Stegostoma tigrinum: one gene and its partners. The protein of the gene in region 3 purifies or fractionates together with the protein of the main gene of each other region. This does not show direct contact. Links are inferred from orthologs where the notes say so. Each region holds a gene or a part of one and is shown on either strand. Other genes may lie near its edges. The genes, in order: pdik1l, stk35 and CTD small phosphatase-like protein 2.

Region 1 (8,083 bases), on a different chromosome or scaffold from region 3:
ATACTAATTATGGCAAGAATATTTTAAGTCTCATTATAAAATAAGAATTTATAACTGAAGCAATGTGGTTCTAGAAAAATCAAAGCCTGAATCTTGAGTCAAGATCTAAGCTGCCAATGGGAAAAATGTAATGACACTCTCTGTAGGATACTGTAAAATTATAATGTTCATTTACGCAACCCCAAACAAGTGAGTGTACCTCCAACAACTGTAAGGTTTTTCTCTCACACCATTTTTGGTGGGTGTAACATATTTTCTGTTTTTGTTTTAATTAATGAGAATCTCTCACTGCGCTGAAAGTTAATTACTCAAGCTTCCTAGTAAACACAGGCAATAACTGAAAAGTTAAGGTTATTACGCATTGATAAGAAACAGGAAGAGTAGATATAGCAGTGATATTGTCGACTCAACGTGGTGTTGTTAGTTTGTACATATAAATTTATGTTTCATAAAATGCCATGGCCTTACTAAAATACATACTTCACATTCTCTACATGGATGAAGCAAGGGGTTTGTTTTAATGACCTGAATCAGATGAAGTAATGTTGCTCAGTGAGTAGGATATTCATGTAGAGGGTGTGATGCACTGTTCAGAGTACTGCCTTTCAAATGAGATGACACACCTAGGGTGTGCATTTGCCTCTTTAGGTTGAGGGAAGCAATTTCATGCATTATTCTGAAACTTGAGATCAATTGTTGTTAGTTTCTTGTTCTAAATTCCTCAAGTAACATCATGCCAACATTAGAAAAAAGTCCTGAATTTACCAAGCACCTTTCATCAGGATTGGATGTCCCAAAACTCTTCGCAGCCAATCAGATAGGTTTGTCATGCGTACTCAAGTATAGGAACACAGAACAGCAAAAAGTGTACAAAAGTGGTGCTAACTTGGTTACAAAACCAAAATTAAAACAAAACAGATAAAATAAAAAAAAGGCTAAGACAACATCCAGATCTTAAAGCCTAAAGTCTTATCTCTATAAAGGCCAATTCTGCATTGTAGGAAAAAGAGCAGTCAATCTGCGTACAATGAGCTCTTACAAATATCAATACAATGATGATCAAATGATCTGATTTTTAGATATTGATAAATGAGATTATCCGTCATGATTACATTATTTCTCATAGGATCTTGCTGCGCACAAAATGGATTCTGTAGTTCCTATTCAAGTAATATTTCATTAACTTTAAAGTACCTTTGAACAGTCTTTATGAAAGGTGAAATATAAATGCAAGGCATTTAGTCCTTAATGTGTAGCTTAATGTCTGTTAAATTGCATCTGTATTTAACTCGTTGTTTAAAGGCATAAGGTATTTTCCCTTCCCAAGAAAAGCATGTCTTCACGTTACTTAGAAATGGATGTGAAGATCTCTTTAAATAAATTTTAAGTCTGACTTAAAGATTTGCATGTGAAATGTTACAACAGTTTTATCAAAGAAATGTGATTTGAATCAGGTTACTTTACAGGATGTGGCATTTCTTTTAGATTATGATGACTTGTCAACAATAAAAATGAAAAGTGTAGATATTAAAATATTTTCTGTAGATATTAAAATATTTTCTGGGATTTTATAAGGCAAATTTGTTGATGGAACTTGTTACTTTGACACATGCTGTGCAACATGAATCATTAAATTGGGTTATTCTACCTTACAGTAACACATTAGAACATTTGAAATTACTTCATTGCAGACAAATTATTATTATTTTTGTTAAATACTTCGGGACTTCTTAAAATTCAGCGTAATACTGGTATATAACACATATACCAAAGTTTTATAATACTAGCATCAGCCCAAATTTTATGAAAAAATCGTGAATGGCATTTTCCACATAAAATATGTCTGGAAAGTGATCACCAGAGTGATGTATTTTCTGAGAATTTTGCTACATTAAAGGCACTCTACCACTCTTTCTTACTATTGTCTGCAAATTCTTTCCCACTTATCCATTCCAGCCCCAACTGGTTGTTGGAGGTGAGTTAATTTGACTCCAGGATATCTCTGCAGAAATTCCTCAGGATATTGTCCTAGGCCCAACCATCTTTAGCTGCCTTATCAATCACTTTCCTCTATCATAAGTTCAGAAGCAGGGATGTTCACTGGTGATTGCACAATATTTAGCTCTTTTAGTGACTTCTCAAAGAATTATGATACCCATGTCAACAAGCAGCAAGATAATATAATATCCAGATTTGGGCTTACATTGGCAAGTAACAATCGCACTTTACAAGTGCCATCTCAAACAAGAATGAATCTAACCTTCACCCCAAATGCTCCCAAACCCCATTGCAATGGGAGAAATTTTTCTATATCTACTTTGTCTAGAATTCTCAAAATATTTTCTGTGTTCCTGTTCCTGTGCTTCCCTTAAAATTATATCTGTTAGTTTCTGTTGACGTTTCTCTTTCTTCTTACTGAAATATATTATGTTCCATTCCACTGCATTAAATGTTATCTGCTTCATGCTTGGCCCTTCCTTCAGCTAATGTGTTCTTGATATCTATTACTATCCTCAAATTTTCCAAATATTGTGTCATCTACACATCTCAAAAATGCATTCTTGCAAAAAGTCTTGGTCATCATGTGTAAGAAAAACAGTAATTTCAGAACTGACCCCTAAGGACCTCCAACTTTGTCTCTAGTTTCTACCATCCTCCAGCCTGACAATAACCATTCACCACTGCCTTGTTTCCTATCACTCAGTCACTTGCACTTACCTTAAAACTTTTCCACTATTCTATTTATATGTCAGATTTCAATTTCAGACTCAGATGGTAAATAGCAAGGAGGAATGTCTTAGACTACAGGATGATATAGATGAGCTGGTTAAGTGGCAAAAAGAACGTAATCCAGAAAAGTGAGATGCCACAATTTAGAAGAACTGACAAGTACATGATGAGTGGTAGGTGACTGGGAAATATAGAAGATCAGATGGGCCTTTGTGTGCATATCTATAGATCCTTGGACGCAGCTGGACGTTGGTCAAGAGGCATATGGAATATGTGCTTTCATTAGTTGAGGCATTGAATACAAGGACTTAGGAGGTTATGATGGAGCTGTATGTAGTGTTAAGGCCATACTTGGAGTACTGTGCACAGTTATGGTTGCCACAGAATAAGAAGGATGTGATTGCACTTGACATGGTGCAGAGCAATGTTCCCTCTAAGTTATGTTGCTCATGCATGCACGTGCACATGCATGGCAACTCCGAATTGCCAAACATGGCAATCAGTGCTTTTGGCGGTAGTTGTCATGTGCACAGACCTCCAAGGAAAAAATATTAGAGGGAACGCTGGTTTGGAAGAGATTCACCAAGATGTTGCTTGAGTTGTAACAATTCATCAATGAAGGCAGGCTATTCAGCTAGGTTTGCTTTTCCTTAGAGCAGAAAAGGCGGAGGGATGATCTGATGGAAGTGTTCAAAATTATGAGGGTTATTGATAGGGAGAAACCTTTTTCTTTAATAGACAAGCCAGTAACCAGGTATGGTAAGGACCAGGGGGTTTAGATGGGATTTCAGGAAACAATTCTTCAACGGGGGTGGTGGGTATTCAGATCTCACTGCTTGAAAGAGTGGTGGAGGCAGGATCCATGAAGACATTTAAGTAGAATTTGGATGCAAACTTGAAACATGATCTACAAGGCAATGGTGGAAGTGCTGGAAAAATGAAATTCGAACAGATGGATGCTTAGACACAATGGTCGGCACAACATCGTGGGCTGAAGGGCCTGTTCTGTGCTGTACTGTTCTATGTTCTTAATGGGCTGAAGGGCATTTTTCAGTGATATAAAATAAAAGCAGAACTGATTGTGAAGAAGGGTCATTGGCCCTGAAATGTTAACTTTAATTTCTGGTTTCATAGATGCTGCCAAACCTTCGTTTGTTTATGATTTCCAGCATCCGCAGTTCTTTGTTTATTTTGGTCAAAGCTCTATTTCTCTGTTGACTCTAGTTTTAACAATACTTGTTATTACTATTAATGAAATGATGCAACCCCTCAATTTACCTTGGGATTTTTTTAAAATTTGCTTTGTTTTTTTTCATTAAAAAGTTAAACAGCTTACTTTCGCAGTGGGAACTGAGGAAACTTCTTCACAGAGTGAATGGTTGAGGCAGGTACAATAGGAACATTTACAAAACATGTGGCTAGGTGCATGGATTTTGACTTGATAGAAGTGTACAAAATGATCAGAGATAAAATAGACAGCCAGAGACTTTTTCCTAGGGTGGAGGTAGCTGTTATGAGGGGGCATAGTTTTAATGTGAGTGGAGGTAGATATTGGGGAGACGCCAGAGGTAGGCGCTTCATTCAGAGCAGTCGGGGTGTGGAATGCATTGCTGGAGAGGGTAATGGAGTTGGCCTTGTTAAGAGCATTTAAATGGCTATTAGATAGGCATGTGGATGATAGCATAAGTTGGGATAGAGGTTAGATAGACCTTTTAGGATTAGGGTAGTAGTTCAGGACAACATCATGGGCCAAAGGGCCAGTACTATGCTGTGCAGTTTTATGGATGGGAAAGGTTTAGAGGGATATGGACCAAATGCGGGCAATTCGAACTATCTGGACAGGCACTATGGTCAGCATGGACCAAGTACAGCCGAAGACCCTGTTATCATGCTGTAGTGCTCTATGACTGTATAACGAAACTAAGTCATCCGCACTGCATCCTCAAGTTGCACCAGATTTGAAAATTTGTCTTCGCGCAAATGCGGGAGAGGAGGGGCGGGGCTTCTTGGGGAGGCGGGAACGTCAATCACAGGGTCGGTGCAGTGCGGAGCTTGTACAGCTCACCACCCCCTACCAGAGTCACAAATCACATCTGCGGGGAATGCAATGAGTGACTGAACCTGCCTAATAACAGTAAAAGCGGGTGGGCGGAGCCTAGGACACGAGGGTCGAATCAGGCGAAGGTGCCCTGGCCATGTGGGCAGGGACGTTCCGGAGGGGCGCCTGGCGGCAGTGTGACTGACAAGAGGGTGGATGATGAGGCTTCCGATTGGATCAAAGGTTGGAGGGGGCGGGGCGCGGCATGGGGCGGGAGCACGTGCGTGAGTGGCAGTTATTTGAAGCCGGAGCTCGCGCATTGGCGGCTGGCGTGAGCGAGCGGGAACGCGGGAGTGAGACCACAGAAGCAATGGCCGAGAGCAGAGCGGGAGAGCAGCGAGCACCAACCGACTGAGGTAGAAAGTAAAATAAAAGACACACGTGTCCATTTACCGAGCTGTGACACCCACGAATGAATGAATGAATGAATGAACGAATGAATATTAATAACCGGCGAGCGTTGTAACGGCAGACAGACAGCATGAGCTGCCTGCTGCTCCGCAATCTCCCTCCTTTCACAGGCCGCTCGTTCCCTGATGTGAATCCCTGGCGGTGGGGGAGGAGGTATTGAACTCTCGGTGCGGCTTGCAAGCGCTCTTCCTCTGTTACTGATGCACAGTTACTCAAAACTGCAATCCCTGATTAAGGCCCAAGTGGATTCGAGGTAGTTGGTGAGCCTCTGCCTGCATTTCTATCCGCAGGCGCATTACAGGAACGGCTCCATTGAAGGAAAAGCAGGCTGGGGAGGAGGTCCAGGCCAGGCCATACTTTTCTCCATGTATGTTATTGCTCCCTACATAATACCTTGCACTTCATCCTCCATTGAACCCCCACCACACCTCCCGCAGTTTTCTTGAGCGATTAGAAATAAGCAGATTTCCTAAGTGCTGTTACACCTTAAATTTGTGCCAACTCGTGATGCCTCAAATGACTTTACCGTGAATAAGGAACTTCTGAAATTAAGTAATTGTCTAACATGGTAACCAGGTCCCGTGTACTACAGTGAAATGAATGACCATAGAGAGATGAGGGGGGCATTGCATTTGACAACTTTCCTCTTTTGGCTAGCACTAGAGGATTGTCCGCTAGCAGATGGATGTGCTGTGTTTATGTTAATTTGAATTGGCATTTCTGACAGTGTTGCACTCTGTTGATGCCATCTTAGATTGTTTGCTCCACTATCTGGAGTGGTATTGTGAATCCTGAACTTTTCTGTTGAGATGAGAGGTCTACCAGTTGCAGTGCAGGAACCCCTCCTTTACAGTTGTCAACTGGGCTTTTGCTGCCATGTAACAACTGTAACCACTAATTGTTGTCTCTACTGTTTTTTAATATTTGTTCACTGATGGACATGTCACTAACATAACCAATATTGCTCATGTGAAAAGGTGTTAAGTTGCTGTAGATCTTATTGTCTTGGTACACTGATAGAGCTTTTAGCAAATGAGTTCTAGGCTGTTAATTGAGAGGTAATAAAGGAAAGGAAAGGAAATATTGTTCTAAATTGGGATTGTGTGACTTGGAAATAAATTGAGGATGTGATGTTCCAATAGTCTGACCCTTTTTCTGTGTGTGGAACTTTGGTTGTAAGCTACTTTTGAAGAAGGAGCTTGGGTGAGTTGAACTACTTTTGTAGATGGTCCATCTGCAGGTAAAGGAGGGAGTAAGGAGGTTGCTCTATCTACTATATTGGATTGACCTCCCATCTTGTTTGGATGAGTGCCATTTAAATAAGTGCAGCGTGACATTCTGTTACACGACTGATGTTGTGACTTTTTAAGCTGTGGTAGCCTTGGGAAGTTGGGAGGTCAGTCATTCACTGCTGAATTCCCATCTGAGCTGCACTTGTAGCCAGCATTCCCACCATTTTTCTTCAGAATTGGAAGTCAGTGCTGCGAATGACATTGCCATGCCAATTGTGTGCAATTCTGCAAGCTCACAGCTTAGCTTGCTTGTAGCCACAATATTTACGTGGCTGATCCAATTCAACTTTCAATCACTACTAACCCTCTAGAAGCAGTGGGAATTCTGATGGGAATGCTGTTGATTGTCAAGAGGACAAACAGACGTGCCAGAGAATTGCTGGAGGCCTGGCAATCCAACCAGAACTCCCTCAACAAACACGTTGAACTGGACCTGAGAAACAAACCATGGGAAAAACAGAACCGTCAGTGGTGCCAACCACCACAGCAAACCGAGGTACGTAAAGAACAAGTGCGCAGAACACCAGCATTTCACCAGAGGTTCACTGAATGCTACCTAGCAGGGTGATGAAACGTGTGCATTCAGACACACCAGCTCAGCACGCAAGACTGCAATTACTTCCACAACCCAAGCAACAAATGTTCTCAAACGTTTTTGAAATTACCTGGTCAAATTAGGTTTTCAATGGACGATGCAGTCAACAGGGAAAAGACAGGAAGTTGTTGAGACAACAGCAGATCAGCCCTGACCTTATTGAATGTCAGAGTAAGCTTAAAGAACCAAATGGTTTATTCCTAATCTCTGTTCAATCAGTGAGCCTTTACATTTCTGAAATTTTACTGGAGGCAGTGTTGCAGTTGAAGATTGTCGGTCCTAACTTCAAATAGCTGTGAGTTGGAACTGAGGTGCTTGCGCTGTAATAACCACAAGCATAGCCTTTTGTACTTGGTATGACTCCAGCCAGCGAAGAGCTTTCTTTCGATTCAATATTGCTAGGATTCCTTAATGCCATTTGGTCACTCAGCATCAAATGCCATCTTGATGCTGAAGGAAATTACTGTTGTCTCACTTAATCTTTGGGAATTGGCTCTTGGATCCATATTTGCTCAAATTAAGTTTCACTCCTTTGTGGAAATCGCTGATTGTGGTTGTACATGGCTCCATGATACTTCCTCCAAGGTCAACTTTTTTTTTTAATTGAACACCTTGGCAGACCTGAAGACATCTTCACAATTCCTTTAATGGTAAAGTTGCTGTAGTCCTACCAGGCCATAGGGCTGCTGTCCCACTAGAGAGCTATGACTAAACTGGAGGGTCACTATGCTCGTGAGGTTGAGAAGCTGTGCCCTTCATGGCAAACCTCAGCTGGTGTGGCAATTGACATCATGCTGTTGGCCTCCCTCTGCATCACAAAACAACTGTTCAACCAATTGAGCTAACTGACCACTTTTATTTACATGTTTTTCAACTCTTGTAATCATTTTAAACTGAGTTATTTTGAAAGATTTGAATTTAGTAGGGTGAGGTAATAATTTGGTACCTCAAATAAGC
Region 2 (7,068 bases), on a different chromosome or scaffold from region 3:
TTATCTACCTTTGAGGAATGTCAATAGAGTAAAAGTTACAACAGGTATTTTGGCAGAGGAAGAAGAACCTCCTTTAGGAAGTAACATCTGAAACATTAAAAACATTAAAAACCTGTAGTTTTGTAGGTGACTGCTACAAATGGAAACCTGTAAGATCAATAACCTGAATTCATTACAGCCTAAATTATTAGACAGACATCATAAACTGACTCTGAAAATCAATCCCAATTGTTTTTTTAAACTGCATTTATAATAGAATATTGAATTATATCCATCTCTTACATGAAATATATAACATTCCATATTGACTATTACAGATTAGATAATACTGATTTATGGATATTTAATCACTAAAATAGTTTTTCAACAATGTGACACTTCTAAATCAATACAGCACTCACGGCAGTTTTTTGTAAATAAAGCTCAAACTTGTTTATATCATTTTAATTTGGTTCTTTCAGATTATTTATCAGTCAATGAAAAGAAGATAATTACTTTGTTGAATGGGGTGAGCATCATCAAATTAATATGACCATCTAATTTTGATCTGAATTTCAAATGTCTGCTTTGAAACTTCAGAATATAAATTCTGCATTTTGATATCTTTTGATTACTGACATTTGTATTTGTAACATTGGAATGCCAGAGTACTCAATGACTGTACTTAAGTCCATGGTAAGATACAGCTGTATAGGAAGCAGAACAAAGGAAAAGTCTTTAGCTACATTTGTATCGCCAATTTGTATGGATGTAGGATGGCTTCAGTTATGCCTTGATGCAACAGTGGTGGTTTAACTCTGCAATGATCAATCAGTGTCCATCTAGAAAATGTTTAAAATAAATGGTGTGAAACGCTACCCCGGAGGCAGAATGTGGGCTGTAATTCCAGTGCTGCATAAAGCTAGTGTTTAAAATGCCCAAGCAATCTATTTTATTTCTAGGGCAGTTTATCAGTTGACAGTTTTCCCATTTAATATTCTGATATAATAAATATTCTGAAAGTCTACATTTGACCCTTTTTGAGAAATTAGATTCTGGGGAGCAAGTAAGTACAAGATATGGCCTAAGAGCTATTATAGCCATTTGATTCAGAAAGCAAGTGAGGGATTTTTGAAATATTTTCTGTACCATTTTTTTTGAAAAAGATGTTGAATTGAACTTGACGCCAATACCAAAAAAAATTAAATACAGCAATACTAGTACTATACATCTAACTATCCATTCAATGCTTGTTTTAGAAAACTGTGATTAGATGGCATTTATCACTGCTCTTACCCTTTACTTATAAGAGGGCTCACTGCTCTTATTAACATAATTTCTTACAGTATGAACTGGAATCCAGCTAGGTATAGTTGTTACAAAGGATCTGCAAGCAAATGGCTGATTGAAAATTCTTTCAATGGCCATACTTAAATAATCTTAAATTGCAACTATATTATTTGAGACAGATCATGTTTTTACACTTACTCCTCCATGTGATATTTTCATCAGCGTATTTGTATTCTATCATGCAATATTTAAAATCCTGGCATTGTAATAATATCCTCTCCATCACCAAGACTACTGCATCCAACATATTGCCAATCTCCACCACTGCCTCAGCTTGGCTGCTGCTGAAATCCTCATCCATTCCATTGATATCTCTAGACTAATCTTTTCCAATGCTCTCCTAGCCAGCTTCTAACCTTGCACACTTTGTTAACTGGAGCCCATCTACAGCTCTGCTGCCATTATGCATCTGGTTGCTGATCTAAACTAGTGTCTGGTCCAGAAATGTCTTGATTTTAACATTTTCATCCTTGTTCTCAAATATCCTTTGTTGACTGTCTTCTCCCCTCCTTATCTATATTATGCCATCCAGTTAGAAAATCCTGCAGATGTTCCCCTGACTTTGTCAAATTCTTTTCAAAGCATGTCTAAGGGTCTTGGGCCATTTCAGGCACATTAAAAGTGTTAGATAAATTCACATTACCAATACATTTATGAATTTTAAGTACAATATTATTGATGAACAGCAATAACTTTTCAAAATTACTTTCACAAAAATAAATGCAGAGTTCAGTTCCTGCTACTCTATCAGTTCTTGACTGTGACAATGTCCCTTCCTTAGATTGATATTGCACCAGTGGGCATGCAGTATGTTCTGTAAATTCCATCTGTTACTCATTGCAGTTATGTTTTTCAGTGATCTTTCCAATAACCTTTTTCCTCTGTAATGTTGGATATGCTTTAAAGTTCCAAAGGAGATGAAGGAGGAAATTTGTGAGGCTATGCCTAGAGTTATGAATGTGTCATTAAAAAAAACTGGTAACTGGAACGGTTCCTAAACATTAGAAAAATTGTAACACGCAATAATAGGACCGGTATTTAAGAAAAGCCTTTTGACTCTTTAAACCACTTCCTGTTCTTGAATTCTCTTCCTTGCATCTCATTAGATCTTAGATAACATCCTTTTGCTGCAGTATAACCAGTTTACTGTATGGTGTAACTTGATATTCTTGGATTTCCTCCTCTGGACATATCTGCAGTAGAGTAAGATGTTCACTCAATCTCATTGTAACTTTGACATATTTTTCAGGATAAATGTTGCTTTTGTCATGCAGTGCATGCTTGTGGTGAGATTCCCAAAGGATGGGATGACAACAGATATTCCAACACTACAACAAAGATAAATTAAGTGATAACTACGGCAAAACTGTGAATGCTGCTAGCTCCTGAAGATATCTGTCACTTACTTGGAAGAGACAAAGAGGAATGGACATAGTCTCTGCTGTGACATACATAAGTTAAAGTAGCAAACATGGCTGCTTAGCTCTCTAGGCTGGGACGGAAGCATCTACTATGCCCACTCCCATGATGCGAGGCTAGCACCATCAACACCCTGGGACATCCACCAGATAGTTCAAAGATGGTTGGGTAAAGGTAAAATGGGTCAGTTTCCACAATATGCAACAACTCAGAGATACTCATGGACCTCTGGAATCTTCCTCCCATCCCCTTCCTTATGACTCCACCCCCAACAGTCCCCATTAACAACTATCCACCCTCCTAGCCAGATTGTTATTAACTCCTTTGTCTATCCAACTGCTCTTTGCTCTCTTTGGGTTCTATCCCCACCTATCGTCTACTCCTTACCCCTTGCTCCTCTCTGTCTTCTGCAAATGAACTGACATTTTCTTAGCTACGATCAGTTCTGAAAAAGGGTAACCGGACCTGAAATGTTAACCTTGATTTTTCTTCATAGATGTGGCCAGACCTGCTGGCCACAAACAGCGACCTCTGTTTCTGTTCCAGTTTCCAGGCTGCGTCTCAGTGTTTTGCATCTGCATGTCACAAGCAGGGAAGGATGTCTGGGGATGATCTGAACAGGATGGGAGGGAGGAAAAATCGAGACCAAAACTAGTCTGTACCCTTTCTATGACTACCAGTCATTAATTGGGTCAAAACAGTGGGGTAAATGATGCGTCTATGGTATTATTCATAGTAATACCGCAGACACATCATTTACCCCACTGTTTTGATCCAATTAATGAATATATGGTCAATTTACTAGCTTTCAAACGACATTCAGCAGAAACTGGAAATATTGAGGACAAAATCTATAACATCCCTTCAATTTCATCTGTAACAAATTGCATTACTTGGTATACAGTTTCTTGAGACTGCACTAAGGTGAATAGCCCGTATAAGACTTCGTATGACAGAGCAGCCTGGACACACTGCAGCCTGCAGAGACTGCATTACACGGTACGTTGTCTGCACGAACTGCTGTACATTAATTAAGCGCACCGCCTGCACAGATTGCGTAATACATAACAGAGGCCTGAGCAGACTGCGATGCATAATGAAAAGTACAGCCTGCACAGGCATTGCATGGCATGACAGGGCTGCCTGTACAGACTGAGGTACATTGCAAAGACCGCGCAGACACTGCATGGCAATGACAAGCCAACTCCGTGAACCACAGTGCGGTAGATCGAGTAGACACGCAACTACGCGACAGGAAAGAGGCATGAAGGCAGCTCGGGACGTGCGCATGCGCTCGGCAAGGGCACGTGAGCACGGGGCCGGCCGTGGACTGGCCGAAAGGAAGCGTTGGGGGGAGAAGGCCCCAAACTCCCAGCAATGAATGAGTGCGCGAGCCGGCGGAGGCCCGCTACAACCAGGCGGCTCAGTTTGTCCGGCTCGGTGAGCGGCTGTGTGCTCTGATCCCGAGGAGGGCGGAAGGCTGGATGTTACCCTGGTGGAGGAGGAGAGGCCGGCAGTGAGTGAGTGCCGGGTCCTGTTCCTCTTCCCTTCTCTTTACCCCCAACCCCCCCCCTCTCCCGGGAGTGGGGCCGGGAGCTGCGGCTGCGCTGGAGCTGGAGCTCGAGCCGAGTGAAGCGGGGGCCCCGAGGCCGAGGCGGAGGCCCTGGGGGCAGAGACAGAGAGCCAGGCCCCGGCCTCTGTCGCTCAGTGATGTGGAGTGCGAGAGCCTCCCCTCAGCCAGCTGCCCACCATGGAAACTCACGACCTGCCGAGAGAAGGCACCGACTGTGAGGAGCGCCCGGCGCTGAGCGGCGGCACCACCACCACCAGTACGAACAGCCCGAGGCTCCCGGGCCTGCTGTGGGAGCCCAAGTACAGCCTGGTGCAGGAGGTGGGCCGCGGCAGTTACGGCGTGGTGTACGAGGCGGTGGTGAGGAAGAGCGGCGCCCGGGTGGCCATCAAGAAGATCCGCTGCGACGCCCCGGAGAACGTGGAGCTGGCCCTGTCCGAGTTCTGGGCTCTGACCAGCCTCAAACGGCAGCATGAGAATGTGATCCAGTTCGAGGAGTGTGTGCTGCAACGGAATGGCATGGCCCAGAAGATGAGCCACGGCAACAAGCGCTCCGAGTTCTACCTGCGCCTGGTCGAGACCTCGCTGAAGGGTGAGCGGATCCTGGGCGCCGGCGAGCCCTGCTACCTCTGGTTCGTCATGGAGTTCTGCAACGGCGGTGACCTGAACCAGTACGTGCTGTCCCGGAGGCCCGACTCGGCCGTCAACACCAGCTTCATGCTGCAGCTGACCAGCGCCATCGCCTTCCTGCATAAGAACCACATCGTCCACCGCGACCTGAAACCCGACAACATCCTCATCTCCGAGAAGTCGGGAGTCCCCATTCTCAAAGTGGCCGATTTCGGCCTCAGCAAAGTTTGTGTGGTGGGCGGAGGAGCAGCCACTAACAAAAACGTGAATGTGAACAAGTGCTGGTTGTCCTCCGCCTGTGGCTCTGACTTTTACATGGCTCCAGAGGTCTGGGAAGGACACTATACGGCCAAGGCTGACATTTTCGCTCTGGGGATCATCATATGGGCCATGATTGAACGAATAACATTTATTGATGCTGAGACTAAGAAAGAACTGCTTGGGACCTATGTTAGACAGGGCAGTGAGATTGTACCTGTAGGGGAGGCATTGCTAGAAAACCCAAAGATGGAACTACATATCCCGCAGAAAAGGAGGACTTTTATGTCTGAAGGGATCAAACAGCTTATTAAAGACATGTTGGCTGCTAATCCACAGGATCGTCCCGACGCATTTGAGTTAGAAACTAGGATGGACCAGGTCACTTGTGCTGCATAAATTATCTATTATAAAGGGGATACTCTTGTAAAAGGTATACAGACAGTAAGCAAAATATTGATATTGTGGATTCTTGGTCATATGTAATTCTATATACCACACTTGCCTTATTTAGTGTATATAGCTTCTCCTTGATTGTAAAGCATACAGTGTCAGAACGTACATGTTTTGAAAGTGTGGTCTTTTTCAAACGCTTTAACTCTGGCCCCATTTTGATTTTAATTTGCCCAATTTAAGGACATTTTTTAATTATCAAGAAAACAACCTAACATTTGCTTTGTTCGTCGGAAGAGGAAGGTGGGCATTTTTCTTAGAAAGCAACCAAACTCTGGGATGATTCTCTTGCAGCACAAACAATAGTTGATGTGTAGAAGAACCCAAAAAAGCCAGTGTACCCATTAAGTGTACTGTGTTCTTTATGTCTGGTTGGGTACTGAGAAATAATGCTAGAAAATCAAGAAGTCAAGGCAGGAGCAAATCAAATTGGTGTTAGAAATATGCTGCAATTCTCTTGGCAGTGACTCACTCAAGCCGTTCCCCACTTGCACTTCAATTAGGTCCTAGTCTTTCTCAAATACCCTAGGGTTTGGAATGTGCTAAACTATTACTTCCAATCACATTATTTGCAAATAGATGCCAGACTAGTAATGTCACTTAGACCATAATGAACATTTTACCAGCAAACAATTAAAGTTTATACATGTTATTCTGAGATTGGTGCATTGTGAATCAAATGTTCAATTAAGAGTAGAATTGAAAATATTGGATATCACTTGGCTGGTCAGGTAGTGACTGGGGAAAAGGTGACTTTTAATATTGACACAGTTCCTCAGTTGTTATGGATGATTGTTTTGCATGTAACTACTGGTCTGTAAGCTAATATAGGACGTAGTGGTTTTGATTCCTTTTGTTTTCAAACATAATGCTAATAGACGTCTTGAGAAGTTTGTGCATTGCTTTCTCACTTGGTATCAAGAAAAGCTGCTTAAATCCCCGCCACTGATGCAGTGTTCCATATTATTATCAATAAATAACAACGTATTTTAGAACTCCCTGCTCTAATTAGATACTGTCAAATTGATAACTATGCAACCTTTCTTCTGCATTTAAATTATTCTCATAATTTGGAATAGCAAATAGTTTTTCCCTGTCCTGGCTAAATGTCTTAATATTTGTGTTCTGTTGTGTTTCTGTTGCTGTTCTTAACTACTTCAGACCCACGAACTTTCCGACAAAGTAGACACAGCATTTTAATTGTTTTACGAAGATGTTTTAAGAATGTGACCCACAGTTGAAATGGAGGATTTTTTCAGGGGCATTGTGCTAAATGATAGCTTCATGCATTAGAACAATAAGCTCAGTTTTCCTCAGAACTTTGGAGTATTGTTTAGCCTGTTTCTGTTTTGGTGTATTTGAGAACTTGTGTACATTCTCTATTTAACTCAATTTTAATTTGAGGGTGG
Region 3 (7,527 bases):
GGTCGAGGGTTGATTTTTCAGATTAGAGGCCTGTGACCAGCAGTGTGCCACAAGGCACAGTGCTGGATCTATTGCTTTTTGTAATTTATATGATAAATTTGGATGTGAGTATGGAAGGTATGGTTAGTGAGTTTGCAGATGACACAAAGATTTGTGATATACAGGACAGTGAAGATGATTATCTCAGAATACAACAGGACCTTGATCAGATGGGAAAATGGGCTGAGGAGTGGCAATGTAGTTTAATTTAGATAAATGTGAACTTTGCATTTAGGTTAGGCAATCCCAGGGGAGGACTTAATGGTAGTTAATAGTAGGGCCCTGGTCAGTGTTGCTGAACAAAAAGACCTAGGAGTACAGGTACATAGTTCCTTGAAAGTGGAGTTGCAGGTAAACAGGGTGCTGAAGGAGGTGTTTGGCATACTTGCCTTCATTGGTCAGAATATTGAGTGTAAGAGTTGTGGCTGTATAGGACATTGGTGAGGTCACTTTTTGAATACTATGTACAGCTGCCCTTTTATAGGAATGAAGTTGTTTAACTTGAGAGTGTGTGGAAAAAATTTACAAGGATGTCGCCAGGACTGGGGGTTTTGAGTTATAGAGACACGCTGGAGAGGCTGAATAGGTTGAGGTTTTTTTCCCCTGGAGTGTCAGAGGCTGAGGGGTGACCTTATGGAGATTTATAAAATCATGAGGGGCATGGATAGGGTGAATAGCTGAAGTCTTTTTCCTCGAGTGGGGGAGTCGAAAACTAGAGATCATAGGTTTAAGGTGAGAGGGGAAAGATTTAAAAGGACCTGAGGGGCCATGATTTTCATGCAGTGGGTGGTGAGTGTACATAATAAGCTGCCAGAAGAAGTGGCCGAGGTGGGAACAATTACAATGTTTAAAAGGCATCTGGATGAGAATATGAATAGGAAGGATTTAGGGGGAAATGGGCTAAATGCTGGCAAATAGGATTCGGTCAGATTGGGATGTGTGTTTGGCACAGAGGAGTTGGACCAAAGGATCTGTTTCCATGTTGTATGACTTTATGACTGACCAGTGACCTCCCATTGGAACTGGAAACCTTTATAGCTACAACTGGTTTTGACCAAGATAAAAACCAAACGAACTGTGGATGCTGTAAATCAAGAATAAAAACAAAGTTGCTGAAAAAGCTCAGCAGGTCTGGCAGCATCTGTGAAGGAAAAAAGCATTTCGGGTCCAGTGACCCTTACTCAGAACTAATGGTGGCTGGGAAAACCTATCATTTACTCCCTACCTGACCCACTTCCCTGTTTTCTGCACATAAACTGATGTTTTCCCAGCCACCATCAGTTCTGCGGAAAGGTCGCCAGACCCAAAGCATTAACTCTGTTTTTTCCTTCACAGATGCTGCCAGACCTGCTGAGAGCTTTTCCAGCATCTTTGTTTTGTTCCTGGTTTTAACCAAGAGCAAAATCAGGGCAATAGTGTGAGAGGAAAGGCAGAAGTAAAAGGGAGGAAAGTCTTTCATTTCAGTAGTGTCCTTCATAACCTCAAAGTGCCCAAACATTTTACTTATTAAGTGTAGCCACTGGCTGCCCTTTTATAGGCAGCAAACTCCCATTGCAGCACTGTATTGCTGATTTGAGGGATAAATAATTGCCAAGATGTTCAGAATAATTCCCTTGCTATTCTGCAGAATAGTATAATCAAAATCTTTATATCCACCTGAGAGGACAGACGACCTTACTTTAAACATCTCATTCAAAAAAATAGCACCTTCAGCAGTGCAGCCTCCTTCAAAACACAGAAGTATCAGCCTAAGGCTCTGTGCTAAGACAATGGAGTGGGGCTTGAACCCATAACTTCCTATTTTAGGAGTGTGCTGTCAATTGGGCAGCTTTTGAAACTTGAGGAATAAGGACGTGTGTAGCAGTGTGTACCATATATGTGCTGTAGCAACTTATTAATCTTCCCCGACAGCATCTTCCAAACCTGTGTTGCTTTACCGCCCAGAAGAACAAGGAGAACAAAAGCATGAGAACACATGTAGCCCTCCAGTCTAACCATTATCCTATCTTGCAGCTGTATCAATAGTCCTTCACTGTCAGTGGGTCAAAATCATGGAGCTTCCTTTCCAACAGAACTGAGAGTGCACCTGAATCTTAGGAACTTAATAAGTCAAGAATGTAGTTCACTACCACTTTCTCGAGGCAGTTTGGATGGGTAATAATTGCTGGTCTTTCCAGTGGTACTCAACATTCTAAAAACAAATTTAACAAGTAGATGTGATGATTTTATTGTACTCCTGAAGAGGTTGTTTGACATGATGCCATTATAGTGCCACCCTCTGATAGCTCACTCAGTGGGTAATCTTCACGTGCTGCTTACCTTTAATACTTTATTTTTCCACTTAATACTAGGACGGACTGTAATGTTAACTTTATTTCTTTATTTTTCTGCTTATACTAAGACTAATGATAAGGCTTTACTTTTAACTTTGTCTTTCAATGTTACTACTTGTAGCTAGGTACCTTTGTACCTAAGTTGATGCCGTGTGTGGCGGCATTGTACATTTTTCACTCCTTTTGTATCCCTATACTTGAGTAGACAAGACAGTAAATCTTAAATTGAAACCAGCTAATGGCACACCAACTAAATATTGATGCATAGTAACTGGATTGGACTGAATTTTCACCCTTTTAGCCTTGCCTGTTAAGCTTGGATGCTTTGACTGTTACTGCTGGAATAACCTAACTGTATACAGTGTCTGAATAGAATCTAGATCATTGTATCAGTCAGAGCACTACTTACTTGCTGACTAATGGGGCAGTCTGACTAGATAAAATTGTTCCAAAGATTTACTTAAGTGGTGGCCATTCATCAACCAACCTATATTGAATCTGGAAGAAATGGCAGGTGTATGTTTTACTGATGACATCAGGTGCAAATACTGTGATATATTCATGTTGATAATGCAGTTACAAAGCAGTTTTAAAACAAGGATGTTTATAAAAGAATAAGATTTACCTATAAAGCGCGTAGATTATTTGTCATTGTTAGAGTGTTAGGTGCATGTTGTGATCTTGTTTTTGTTGTGTATTCACATGCCTTCAGGTTGTGAAACACTGTCAGAAAAGCTACTGAGGCCATTAAAGTACAAATTTCTGCAAAGTGCTCTTTCCTGCTGGATGGCAGTTAATTTGCTTTAAGGTTACTTTAAGCTACTTTGGATTTGAGAAAATCTTTGAAGAACTGGTGACTTGTGCCTGACTTTTAAAGATACTACTCTCTACTCTCTTTTTTTACGTTCATCCCTGGAATTGTAACCTTCCATTTCTGGTGTGTCTGTCTGCACTTCTTATTACCGAAATGTTTATATTGTGATGGAACTGAAAAGTGAAGAAGCGTTGGAGGAATTATTGGAATCTGTTTTAAAATCTTGCGAGTTATGGCATGGAAGTAAATCTTTATTCTAACCAAACTGAGATGAGAGTACTGATTTTTAATATTATATTTTAATATAACATTGGCATCAATCCAGTAGAAAAACTGCAGTTTCTAAAGCGCATTGTAACGTTTTGAACAAATTTTATTTAAGCCGTGTGCACTGCAAAAGTATAAACTGCAAATTTAATATTTATATGGCCTTCAGCTGTCACTTAAGCAATATTGCCTGAAGATGTTTCAATCAAACCACTTTATAATATTTAAATATTCAGTATTAGTGGGACTCTGCCAAAAGTTTTCCCTTTTTAATATTTCACTGTTTGCTTGTGTACAAACTGAAGGCTGATGGACAGGTACAAAACCAATTTTTTAAAGGTCTAATATTGGCTTTTATCTCAAAGAGGCTCTAATAAAAAGTGGTGGAAATTCCTTTACAATTATGTAAAGCCATGGCTGGACCTCAGATCCAAGATTTAGTGATAATAAGGGAAAATCAGGATGCATTGTGGCTAGGAAGGTGATTTGGGTGTGATGCTGTTTCTGTGCACCTGTATCTTTTGTCCTTGTAGGTGGTAGAGATTGTGATTTTCAGAGGTAGATTACACGTGCTGCCATGGTGTACCAGTAGTCGAGGGAATATATATTGGAAGAATTGCAATTAGTTTTATACTCTAGCACGTATGCAAATGTTCACAAGTTGCCTGTGAATATACATTTTAAAAATCTGTGCAAACCATCGTTCTTCTCTTAAGATTTTCTATCCATTCTTCTCATATCTTGAAGGAACTGACTTAATTGTTGATTATTCCATTTATGTAGGCAATGAATAATACCTTTTTTGATAGTGTGTGTAATCACAGCCATAATTGATCTTGTTGTCCTCTGAGATCCAGTTCTTTTTTTAACTGCTTTCACAGGAGCTGGGCCAGCACTTGTTGCCCATCCCTAGTTGCTCTTGAGAAACTGTCGATGAGCTGCCTTCTTGAACTGCTGCAGTCCATTTGGAGTATAGGTAGACGCTCAATGGCATTAGGGCAGATGTTCAACGATTCTGACCCAGCGACGGTGAAGGAATCGCGATTATAGTCCCAAGTCTATATGGTGAGCCATGAGCATTGTGTAACAATCAGCTTTGATATATTTTTCTGTAAAATGGAACTGTTGAGGTTATTGTCATTTTTAATTATAACCCAAGAAGCAACAGAAAATGAATTTGACAAATGTGTCCTGTAATTGCCAAACTCTATGATGATCAGGTTTTTAAAAAAAATAACCTATTTTATGATATGAAATCATAACATACCTGTCTGAGATATTTCCCAACCACAGTGACTACTGTAGAACTCCACTTATTCATAAGAATAATACACAAAATACATTCAAAAACAAGGCAAGTTTGAGCAGAGCTTTTTTGTCATATCTAATGAAAGGACCTTTACAAGAAGCATTAACCTGTCTATTTCCAATTGCTGATGGGCTTGCATGTTTCCAGCTGTTTGTATTTTTAATTACTATTTTGATCATTCCATTTGTTTTTTGTCTTTATGCAAATATATAACCTGGTACTTCATTTAAATCCCAACAGTTATCTTGGTGGCTAGTTGTTCAGAATATTTCTGTATCAGTTAAACTCTACGAGGCATTTTTATTTTTAATTTTTATAGAACATAGAACATTACAGCACAGTACAGGCCCTTCGGCCCTCGATGTTGTGCCGACCTGTCATACCGATCTCAAGCCCATCTAACCTACACTATTCCACGTACGTCCATATGCTTATCCAATGACGACTTAAATGTACCTAAAGTTAGCGAATCTACTACTGTTGCAGGCAAAGCGTTCCATTCCCTTACTACTCTGAGTAAAGAAACTACCTCTGACATCAGTCCTATATCTTTTACCCCTCAATTTAAAGCTATGCCCCCTCGTGCTCCCCGTCACCATCCTAGGAAAAAGGCTCTCCCTATCCGCCCTATCTAACCCTCTGATTATTTTATATGCTTCAATTAAGTCACCTCTCAATCTCCTCCTCTCTAATGAAAACAGCCTCAAGTCCCTCAGCCTTTCCTTGTAAGACCTTCCCTCCATACCAGGCAACATCCTAGTAAATCACCTCTGCACCCTTTCCAAAGCTTCCACGTCCTCCTTATAATGCGGTGACCAGAATTGTACACAATACTCCAAGTGCGGCCGCACCAGAGTTTTGTACAGCGTCACCATAACCTCTTGGTTCCGGAACTCAATCCCTCTATTAATAAAAGCTAAAACACTGTATGCCTTCTTAACAGCCCTGTCAACTGGGTGGCAACTTTCAAGGATCTATGTACAAAGACACCGAGATCTCTCTGCTCATCTACACTACTAAGAATCTTACCACTAGCCCTGTACTTTGCATTCCGGTTACTCCTACCAAAGTGCATCACCTCACACTTGTCTGCATTAAACTCCATTTGCCACCTCTCAGCCCAGCTCTGCAGCTTATCTATGTCTCTCTGCAACCGACAGCATCCTCCGTCACTATCCACAACTCCACCGACCTTAGTGTCGTCTGCAAATTTACTAACCCATCCTTCTACGCCCTCATCCAGGTCATTTATAAAAATGACAAACAACAGTGGACCCAACACCGACCCTTGCGGTACACCACTAGTAACTGTCTCCAGGATGAACATTTCCCATCAACTACCACCCTCTGTCTTCTTTCAGCAAGCCAATTTCCGATCCAAACTGCTATATCTTCCACAATCCCATTCCTCCGCATTTTGTATAATAGCCTATTGTGGGGAACCTTATCGAACGCCTTGCTGAAATCAATAATTTCCTTACTTATTCTCAGTCTGAAAAATCAGAGTATATTTTGAGACACAGTACATCAGTATACTTTTTAAAGATGAGCTTGTGATATCATCACTGTATCATAGAATATGATCTAATTGTATAAACACTGCATACTCCACCTTAAGTGGATCACTTGAAGTATGAATTGCTACTAGAAGTATGATGCTCAGCTATAACGTTAGTGTAACACTTATCTGTAACTCTTACGTGTTTGTGATTCAATAATTATACATGAAACCAGTTGAAATAAGCATCTATTGGATCCTTCAAGAGTACACTTCCTTGAGGTTGTACTGGATCTTGGATTTGGATTTCTGCTGCTTTGGACAGTGGATGTTCAGGCCAATTCAGATTGGGTCACTTGGAACATAATAAACTAGTGAGCAAGCAAACTAACGAATACATTTATGCATCATCCAGATAAGTCAATTTCAACTGAGTAACAAAAAAAAAATGCCATGCACGTTCAAAAATACCCAGTTTCTGGACAATTCTGGTTTGTAGACTGCCAATTTTGAGAATAACGACTTGTAATTATTTAAATATAATTGTCTTTGTCAATGAATTGATCAAAGTTGGGAAATGAGAATGTCCCAGATTTACAACTTGAGTGAAAACAGCACATGAATAATTTATTACTTCTGTTTAGATCTACAGAATGGCTGTAAATTGGGAGAGGAGAGTGTGCAATAGGACCTGAATGTTCTTGTGCACCAGTCAGGTAAGCATGCAGGTGCAACAGGCAGTAAAGCAGGCAAATGGTATGTTTGCCTTCATAGCGAGAGGTTGAGTGTAGGAGCAGGGAAGTGTTGTTGCAGTTATACAGGGCCTTGGCAAGACCACACTTAGAATGTTGTGTGCAGTTTTGGTCTCCTTTTCTGAGGAAGTCACTCTTGCTCTCAAGGGACTACAGTGAAGGTTACCAGGCTGATTCCGGGGATGGTGGGACTGACAAGAGGGGAGATTGACTAGATTAGGATTATTTTCGCTGGAATTCAGATGAGCGAGTTTGGGGGGGTGGTGTGGGAGAAGAGATGTCATAGACACTTTTAAAATCTTAATGGGACTGGACAGGGTAGATGCAGGGAGCCTGTTCCTGATGGACGTGTCCAGCACAAGGGTCACAGTCTGAGGATTTGGGATGGACAGAGAATGGAGATGAGGAGATACTTGTTCACCCAAAAGAGTGATGAGCCTGTAGAATTCATTACCACAGGAAGTAGTTGAATGTATTCAAGAGGCAGCCAGATATAGCAGTTGGAGTGAAAGCAG

What was found.
Region 1: the proteins of CTD small phosphatase-like protein 2 (region 3) and pdik1l purify together in Homo sapiens (affinity purification with mass spectrometry; 4 studies listed by BioGRID and IntAct, counting the BioPlex papers as one, with this or other methods). This does not show direct contact. The link is inferred for Stegostoma tigrinum from reciprocal best matches to the Homo sapiens genes CTDSPL2 and PDIK1L.
Region 2: the proteins of CTD small phosphatase-like protein 2 (region 3) and stk35 purify together in Homo sapiens (affinity purification with mass spectrometry; 3 studies listed by BioGRID and IntAct, counting the BioPlex papers as one, with this or other methods). This does not show direct contact. The link is inferred for Stegostoma tigrinum from reciprocal best matches to the Homo sapiens genes CTDSPL2 and STK35.

The regions. Positions count from the first base shown.
Region 1 is NC_081377.1:29,406,970-29,415,052, reverse strand, and holds the start of pdik1l (serine/threonine-protein kinase pdik1l), read left to right. Parts: upstream 1-5,077; 5' UTR 5,078-5,184; exon of another isoform or gene 5,185-5,191; intron 5,192-5,213; exon of another isoform or gene 5,214-5,606; intron 5,607-8,083.
Region 2 is NC_081372.1:35,991,827-35,998,894, forward strand, and holds the start of stk35 (serine/threonine-protein kinase 35), read left to right. Parts: upstream 1-4,038; 5' UTR 4,039-4,498; coding exon 4,499-5,605; 3' UTR 5,606-5,639; intron 5,640-7,068.
Region 3 is NC_081386.1:33,606,646-33,614,172, reverse strand, and holds the start of CTD small phosphatase-like protein 2, read left to right. Parts: upstream 1-4,440; 5' UTR 4,441-4,518; intron 4,519-7,527. UniProt on the Homo sapiens protein: Probable phosphatase.